Linked DNA regions of Macaca fascicularis. The protein of the gene in region 1 interacts with the protein of each later gene in a biochemical or structural test. Links are inferred from orthologs where the notes say so. Each region holds a gene or a part of one and is shown on either strand. Other genes may lie near its edges. The genes, in order: NTRK2 and BDNF.

Region 1 (4,496 bases):
CCAACGATCACATTTTTTTCTTTTGAGCGAGTGCATTTCAACACTCAGAACTTCTCCTCTTACAGATCATTTTCAAGGCCATCTCTGGATGCCATCTCCTAAGCAAAATCTGATATATAAAATGAAAAGGGAAAGTGGTTAACTCAAACCTCAAAAAAGATGTTAAGGGAGAGACTGTCACTTCCTTCAACAGATTCGGGAAAGTTAATTATTTTAACCTCTTTTCTAGTGAATATTAATGGAACTTCTAACACAACATACACACAGCACTTTATGAAACAAAAATGCCCAAAACTAAGTTAGTGCATGCGGAAAGCCTAAAGCACACCCAGCAGAGCTTTGAAATATAAAAAGCATAGTGAGTTCCTTCCCACGAGGAATACATATATAATCGGCATATGTATATCTATATTTAAAACTTATCCTAAAGTGTCACACTTCTCCTGCACTGGCAGTCCCAAGCCAGTGAAACAGACAGGTAACTGACAGATGGCCCTGTCTTGCATCTCTTGTCTCTGACTTCTCCCCACTCTTGAGACAGCATTCACTTTCAGGACCTACCCATCTGGCCAGCCCGGGCCCTAGGGGCAAGGCGAAAAAAGAGGAAAAGCTCCAGGAACTCACATTTCGGTGATGTTCTCAGGATCTACACTGTTAGGTTCCAACCTTGGAAATGCCACGATGCCAGGAGAAGGGTCGCTGCACCAGATCCGAGAGGCACTGCATTTGCAGGACGTGGGACAAGCGAGAGCGGCCCTCCAGAAACCCACAACCAGCCAGCAGAAGCCCCAAAGCCGCGCCATGGCGGGTCCATGCCACCTTATCCAGGACGACATCCCTAGCAGCCAGTGCCAGCCCGAGTGAGTGTCCCCACGCTGCACCGGCCGGTTTCCCCGACCTGTGCGGGGAGGCCTTCCCCGCGCTTGCGGCTCTCTTGACTCCTCGGTGCTTGCTTGCTGCGGGCGCGCGGAGTCCAGCGTATCACAGGCTGAGCTGGTCCGGAGCGGAGCGTATTCCGGCAGGCGGCAGGGTTCACAGTGGCCCCGGCATCGTGAACCGCTTTACAGGGGGGTGCTACCGCCGCTCGGAGCTCCGCCGCGGCCGTTGCTGCATGGCCCGGGGCGCCGGGCACCGACCGGCGGCGCTCCCGGGACTCTCTGGGGTGCAGGCTCCTTATTAGACGCGAATGGGGGTCCGGTATGCACCTCGAGGCTGAGGACAAACAGATACGCGTAAGACTGAGTGTAGGACCCCCAACACCACTAATTGGAGCACTCTCCCTCTGCGCTCGCATCATCCCCACCCCGATCCCAGCCGGGAGACTGTGGATGGATGAGTGCCCAGCTCCAGCCCAGGAATCAACTTGCCCCGCGATGGCACTGACGCCGCTGGAGCCACCAGTGTGCCCACTCTCTCTTCGAGCCTGAGGCCAAGGGAGGGGAGGTAGGGAAAGGGTCCCCGAGACAGGATTCCATGGTACAGGCCGGGCGAAGGACCCTTTAAAGGGGAATGCGGAGACTGCCGGCAGCTTTGGCTCCGCGACGGGGGCCCCGAATGATGCTGCAGAATCCGCCACAGCCGCTGGGTGCCGGTGGCGCGGGCAGGTGGCGCGGCACGTCCCACCTGGGGAGTAGCCGAGGCCGCCCCAGGGGGAGACAGGGAGGGCCGAGGCGACCGAGGGCACTGTCTGCGCTGCTCACCCGGGCTCCGGCGCCTCACGCCCGCCGGCGGCGCCTGGGTCCAGGATCCTGCTGCCGCCGGGGACTGAGCGCGTAGAGCGCGAGCGAAGCAACCAGCGAGGCTCCTGCTCCAACCCAATTCCGGGAGCCGCCGCCGCCGCCTCTGCTACTGCTGGCGAAGTGACGTGAGGGCTGACGCAGAGCAGGGGCAGAAACTCCAGAAAATTAGTCTGAAATCCAAAAACACACACGCGCTCATACACACACAAACCCATAACACCCTCCAGACAAAAGCACCAGGGAGGGGAGGGGAATCTGGGGGCGAGCAGGGAGGAGGGAGGCATCAGTGCCACTGGCCAGAAGCAGACAGCAGCAGCATGTGGGAGTGCACACACGCGCGCACACACGCACGCACACACGCACACATCCTGGCCGTGTAGACACGCGCGCGCGTGCCTCTGTGTGTGTGTGTGTGTGTGAATTTACATCCAGGTACCTCTGAGATGAACCGTTCCTCCGTTTGACGCCTCCCGGTCCCTAATTCACACCACAGTCTCTTCTACAATCGCGGTAGAGGCTGGCTCGCTTTTTGAAATGGAAACCGTGCTTGGTTCAGCTCTGAAAAATGCGCTGATTCTTATTATAGGAATCCTCCCTCCCTTCTCCCTCCCCGCGTTCTCCTTTCCCACCCTGCCTAAAAGGGAGGGCAAGCTATCCTAAAAATAAATAAATGTTGTAAACACCAAAACGTGTTCTGCATTGGTAACCAAGGATCACCGCCCCCATTCCGGGCCACCTATTTGGGGATCGGTGGTTTTGGAGGGGCTTCCTGTTGGTGCTTTTGCAGAGGGAAGGGAGTCTCCAAACACAATTCTAGCTCTCTAAGTGGGTCTTTTTCCTGCCGTTTTCTGCCATCACACGCCCGGGAAATAGAGACATGTGAGGGGAAGGGAGCGCGCCTGATGCGTATTCTAAATGCTCGGTGGCCACCCTGGCCTGTCCGATGTGTGGCGCCGCGTCATTTTCTCTCATCCTTTAACCTGTCGGGATGTAGCCATTCCCATATCGTAGCTTCACTCCCCGCGATGCCCACCCCATGCAGGGCATCCCAAGCCCTTGCTCCCCTGCCGTACCTTGCGCGTGTTCATGTGTGCGCGGGTGTGCGCGAACGCGTGCCCTGCGCCCGCGCTGCCCGGAGCACGATATGCATCCAGCTACGAAGAAGCCAGGCGCGGGCAGAGCCTCGGGGTCTCACTAGGGACAAATTAGGCGATCCGGGAGGGTCGGGTGACAAACCGTAATTGTTCTGCGGGCGCAGTTAAATGACGGCTGCGGGGCATTCGCAAGCCTTGTCTGAGAATCCGTCTTCCCTTTTGCGGCTCGGAATCTGTTTTTCCGCAGTCATTTAAAAGCGAACTGGGAAAATGCACCGCAGTGCCTGACACTTCCGAGGGCTCTGGTGCCCCCGCGCGGGGAGAGAGCGCCCGGCACGCTCCGGAGCACCAGCCCACCGCCACGGTCGCGGCGGGCACAGCGCTGGGGGCGCGCTCTGGCGCCAGATGCGCAACCAGCGGCGCCCGACGCCTGCGCGTCCCTGCCCGGCCAGTGAGCGGCTTGCCTGGCCTCGCCGAGGTCCGGCCCGGGGAAAAAGGCGGCCAATCCTCCGCTCCAGAGAGAGCAATGGGTTGGAGTCTCGTTCAAAATATAGTAACAGTCACTGATCTACCCGCAGAGGCTGGGGATGGGAAGGATCGAGAAACCGAACCTTAGAGTGAATGCTCGGATCTAGGCCAAGCATTAAATATTACGAAGGGAACGTAAAACATCTAGTGGGGCTTTTTTGTACAGATCCTGGGCGCTGAGTGTTACCGCGGGAATTCTTGGACAGCACCCAAAAATCTTGCTGCAGGTCCCGAAGGCAAGGCTAGCAGGTCTGTCTCACCACTGTCGCTCGGCTGTAACACACTTTGAGTGGTGAACGGCCAGGCTGAAGTTTACTCCTCAGCAGGGCCTCTCTCGATTTTCTGCTAGGTGAGGACGTGCCAAGGAAGAGAAGCAAGGGCAAAAATGACCTGGTCTCAGACGCACGTAAAACTCCGCCTGTCTTGTCAGTGCCCCTTAAGTGGAGAAGCCCCTGAGGAACACTTGGGGAAGGAAGGAGTGTGTGTGTGCATAATCACCCACATCTCTCTCACACTCCCATACTCTCAGCCCATTTTCCTAAGAAAGGGCCCATTTGCGCCCTAGTGGCTGCAGCATGTCTCAATGCGGTATGGAGAATAGGCAGTTTTACGGTGGTTTGTACACCACAAGATTCCAATTATGTTGGAATATCTGTAGAATTTCTATTAGAGTAAATATATGCTACTATTATAGTTGAATTCTAAATATATTCCACTGACTGTCTCCCACTTAAAATTAGGATTTGCGGTCCTACTTCTAATCACCCTACTTCTGCTCTACTATTTCAACCATAGCAGTTTGTCTTTTGGACAGATCATTTACTTATCATATATATATTTTAAATTTCTCCCAGTAGAATGTACACTCCATGAAGGCAGGGATTTTTGTCTATTTTGTTCATTGATATATCTCAAGGACATAGTAGGTGTTAAAATATATGTGTATTTTTAATGAATAAATAAAATAAAGTTGAGATCTTACTTTCTTAACCTCTAATTCTGCAAGAACCTGGATTATTCCCCCAGACACGCTCCTTCTCACCTTCAAAATTTCAAATCTTCCTTGTGTTCCGAGTGCTCATAGCACTGCTTAAAACCTTGCCTTACTTTCTGCCTCATTTAGTAGCCAGATATG
Region 2 (4,409 bases), on another chromosome or scaffold:
CATTTTAGGCAAATGACGACTTTCTTGGTTCCATTGATTTACAAGTAAAAGTTACACACATTGAAAAGACACTCTGAAACAGATTTCCTAAATGCTTCATTTTCTGGATACACCAATGTTGACCTACTATACATCTTAAATGGCTTTAAAATATCACCTTAAAATACACGAAACTTCCAGCTACTAACTCAGCTCTGAATGGGCTATGAAAGGCTCCAAAGGTATGTGAAAAATTACTGTTATTTTGCTTTAAAAAATGTGATGTCTAAGTGTGTCTGCAATGTTCTAATGCTTCAAAACATGTACGTAAGCCTTGTTTATCTGGAAATCATTTCTTTCTGCTTATATCATTTATAAATAGAAAATGTTCTGTAATAACTTAAAATAGTTCCACATACATAATGCTTTTCGTGTCATAATACTTACTACTGGTCTATATTTACCAACATTTATCACATTTTACAAAATGAAGTAGAAGAAAAAAAAGACAACGACTTTATGGCGCTGGAATTCCAGTAATGGTGACCAACATGTTTTAAATTCCAGTAAAGGTTATGGTTACATTTCAACAAGTGTCTCTTTCCTTTCTCTTACCTCTCCTGCTCACCCAGAGGTAAATTTACCAAAAAACAAAAATAAAAAAATAAAAAGTCTCAAGCAAGGCATTTGCAAAAATCAGAAAACACGAACAGGGGTTTAGTGATGGTTTTTAAAAGGTGCTGTTCCCAGGGTCAAAACTTTGTGGTGTAATTTCAACATGCTATGTTACCTCTTATGTGTAATGTCTTGAATCGCTACATGTCATAACATCAGAAATCTCCAACCTAAAAATTATGTTGCATGAGGTAAGCATTGAAGGCACACACGTTCAGACAAATTAAATCTGTAATTATGGCTCAATAAATTAAAATGTAAAGACATATCAAATTGTAAGACCGAAATGGCTTTTGACCTTACAACAAACTCATATAAAAATAGATTTTTCGATAATAATAAAGGGGAGAGAGAGATTTTTCAGGATATTGAGCCAGTAGGGAGGGGTCTCATTTAATAGCATATCGCCTTTTATATGCAGTTAGAAAATCAACGTTCCCAATTGCATACTACTTTGCTTTAAAAGATAACTGTACTAGGAGGATTAATAAACACTCAGAAATATGATTTTCTTCGCTTCTGGCCAAGAACATTCCTGCGTGCTTGTTGGAAAACGTTCTTTGGTTGCTACTGACATTGAGGAGTAAGTGTAAGATACCTAGAGGGCCCTAAAATAAGATCCAAGAAGCCCTAACACACCACCAATCGAGGCTTATCAGAGCTCCTCCAGCGCGAGGAAAACTTGCATAGAAGCCAAACAAGAACAAGGAGTCAAAATCCACCGACGACGAGTCGCATGCCCTACCGAGCTGGAGTCAGCAGCACCATTCAACAAGTCCCTCCTACCAGCTCTCTAAGGGATCCCGCAAAACCTTCCCTTACCACTTCCCCACCCCCAGCCTCCCGCCCCCAGGAGCTGCTCTTGGCAGCATGGCCGGCAGAGGGCACCCTCTACCTTCCCTAGCTTCCTTCTCCGGGTCCCCTCCTCCTCCTTGCCTCCCCTCCACCTCGGTCCCTCATCCCTGCTCCACCCCCAACACAAAAACACTGCATCCTCCAGTTCACCCTCGCAGCCCCAAGGCTTCTTCCTTAGGGCTGCCCCTAGTCTGTAATCTCCCCTTCTTCTTGCCCGTCGGGCACAGAGCCCCCAATCCTCAGCTATTTCTTTCCAGGCGCAACTCACTCTCACCCATTCTTCCCGGCTCTGCATCCCCAGAGACTAACCCGAGTAAGGAATCCCCCACCTATATCCCACCTAGTCCCCGAAAGTCAAAACTCTAACTTCCTTGGAGGGCGCTTCAGAAGAGGGGCGCAGGCTGGGTAGCCCGCCCGGGAGTCTCGCAGACCCTTTCAGTTCCGAGCGGTAGTAATTCCGCCTCCCAAGTTTTCTAAGCTACATTGGCTTCGGACTTGTAAATCCACTTCAGTCTCAACTCCTGGGAAGCAGGTAGCCGTGTGCAGTCCCGGGGACCACGCGGACTCAAGGCGCAAGCTTCCCTCCCACTCCCCCCACAGGTCGGCGCGGGGACCACCCAACCCCTGGAAGGATTCCTAGCCTAGCCTCAGCACCCTTCCCTCAGTCAGGGCCCCCGACAGCTCTGGCCCCCTAAGTCTCTCTCGACTCCTCCTGGGGTGGGGGAGGACTGCGAGGGATCCCCGGGTCGCCGTCTTGGCTCCCATCACGCAGCTCTGGGTCTCCTCCAGGCCTTCTGTCCTCTACTTCGTGCCTTCCCCGGGTCCCTTTTTCCCTGGTAGTGCCGGGTGACCTTCTGGGTTGTGGGATGGGGGAGAAAACTCCCCAGGAGCAACTCCAAATCCTCCCTTCTACCGGCGGGGAGGAAAGAAGGAGACTGGCCTCGTCCCACAACTTTGGGGGGTCCCCCAGTCAACTTTCTCCTGCGGACCGGCAGCTCCCGTACCAAGCCCCATGCCCGGCGCTTGCCTACCTCGGGGTCCACACAAAGCTCACGGGTCCCCGGCGGCGGAGTCACATCGTGGTTCCGATTCTGGCTCCAGCGCCCAGCCCGGGTCCTCGTCGCGGTGCTGCTCCCCGCCGGCCCCACAGCAGCGGTGGCAGCTGCATTCAAGTGTCTCATTAAAGCCCCCCGAGCAGGAGATGGGAGGCGCACCGGGCCGGTTCCTCCGTCCGGCCCGGGAGCCCGAGGCGCTACGGGGTGCGCGGGACAGCGAGCCGGCGGGTGCGCCCGGGCGCGGCGGCGGCAGCGGCTGGGACCCGGAGCTCCAGGCTGCGCCTTGCGCCCGGGTCAGACATTATTTAGCTCTTCGGTTGAGCTTCGATTGGTCAAACGGCGCCACCCCCCCGCCCCCCTCCCCCCGCTCGCCCGCGCTACCGATACCCGTTCGGGGCGGCTGCTTAAAGGGAACGCCGCGCCTTTTTCTCGCCCGGGGGACCGAGGGGCGCCTGGGACTCCCCGCTCCCCCAGGGCCTGTCCTCACGTCCTCCCCCAGGTCCCCGCGACATCATCCTGCGAGTCCTGCGCCCTCCCGGGGCGCCTTGGGCAGGACGCCCGCAGCTTCGAGGGGTGTTCCAGCCCCAGCCCCAGCCCCGGGGAACCCCGCGTCCCGCGCCCTCTGCAGAAACCCCGGCTGTGCGCGCTGGGGCGTGAGGGAGCGAGTGAGGATCGCACGCCCTGAGGTCTTGCTCCCCTAGCTTTCAACTCTCCCCTTCCTCCCCATCCCAGCACCTAAGTTCTCTGGGAATGGGCGTGCTTTTCCCGGGCCACAGACACACCTTCCCGCACCTTCCCGCACTACGGAGCTTGCGAACGCGAGCACACAATGAAATCGCACAGAGCATGGGGGCTATTGGTTTACTCCGCTGCCTTAAACACGCCGGCTTAAACAGAGTTCGCGCACTGACCTCTCTAGAGTTTGCCTAATAGGAATTCAATCAAGATAACAACAGCATTTTTTATTGATGAACGCCCCCAGATAACGTTACACCAAGTTACTTGTTCCAGCCAGGAAGCCCAGGCAATGACAGACCTCGCTAAAGCCACACGCTTTCTAGCAGACCAAACAGAAAAACGGAAAGAGAAAGAAAGAAAACAAACCCACCTTTTCAGACACTACTTGTCAAAGTAACCATCAAGGCAGCTGCTCTGGGAAAGACTTCGGCCCCAAAACTCCCAGACTCTATTATTTTTTCACGTTCTCTTTGCTTAAAGGGGGGAGGGGGCGCGAGTCTTTAGTGCCCGGTATGTACTCCTTCTGTTCTGCAGCAAAGAAGTTAAATTATTGATAGTGGAAATTGCATGGCGGAGGTAATACTCGCACCCCATCAGCTAGAAGCTCCATTTGATCTCGGCAGAGGCAGGAAGATTTCATGCTAGCTCGCCGGGGGGAGCGGCAGCGAGAGCAGCCCTCTCCGCGGTGAATGGGAAAGTGGGTGGGAGTCCACGAGAGGGCTCCACGGTGCCTTGACGTGCGCTGTCATATGATACCTCCGCTGCCTCGAAATAGACACTCTAGTGCACGAATTACCAGAATCAAAATTCAGCGCATTTAAAATGATACATCTTTTATTAGAAGAGTTCCGTTCCAGGGCATTGCATGCTTTTGCAGATGTTTTCACTTCCAGCCCCAGCAAACACACATATAAGCTAACCCTTTTAATAACGAACCAGGGCAGCAAAGATAAATAAAAAATCTTCTGCTTTAACCAGAGTGGGGGTAGGGGATTCGAGGGTGGGGGCAGAACTGGCTCAGTTAATCCTCCCCCGCCCTCCACCCCCACCACTGCCCGCAGCAAAAGAGCAAATAGTCTTTCGGGTTCTCATTTGCCTGTAGCCAAG

The links.
Region 2: the proteins of NTRK2 (region 1) and BDNF form a complex in vitro, tested with the Homo sapiens proteins (3 studies listed by BioGRID). The link is inferred for Macaca fascicularis from reciprocal best matches to the Homo sapiens genes NTRK2 and BDNF.

Annotation. Positions count from the first base shown.
Region 1 is NC_088389.1:115,291,586-115,296,081, reverse strand, and holds the start of NTRK2 (BDNF/NT-3 growth factors receptor), read right to left. Parts: upstream 3,077-4,496; 5' UTR 2,813-3,076; intron 2,298-2,812; exon of another isoform or gene 2,265-2,297; 5' UTR 2,176-2,264; intron 1,823-2,175; exon of another isoform or gene 1,368-1,822; intron 1,213-1,367; 5' UTR 837-1,212; coding exon 625-836; intron 1-624. UniProt on the Homo sapiens protein: Receptor tyrosine kinase involved in the development and the maturation of the central and the peripheral nervous systems through regulation of neuron survival, proliferation, migration, differentiation, and synapse formation and plasticity.
Region 2 is NC_088388.1:37,889,531-37,893,939, reverse strand, and holds the start of BDNF (neurotrophic factor BDNF precursor form), read right to left. Parts: upstream 2,845-4,409; 5' UTR 2,691-2,844; coding exon 2,541-2,690; intron 1-2,540. UniProt on the Homo sapiens protein: Important signaling molecule that activates signaling cascades downstream of NTRK2. During development, promotes the survival and differentiation of selected neuronal populations of the peripheral and central nervous systems.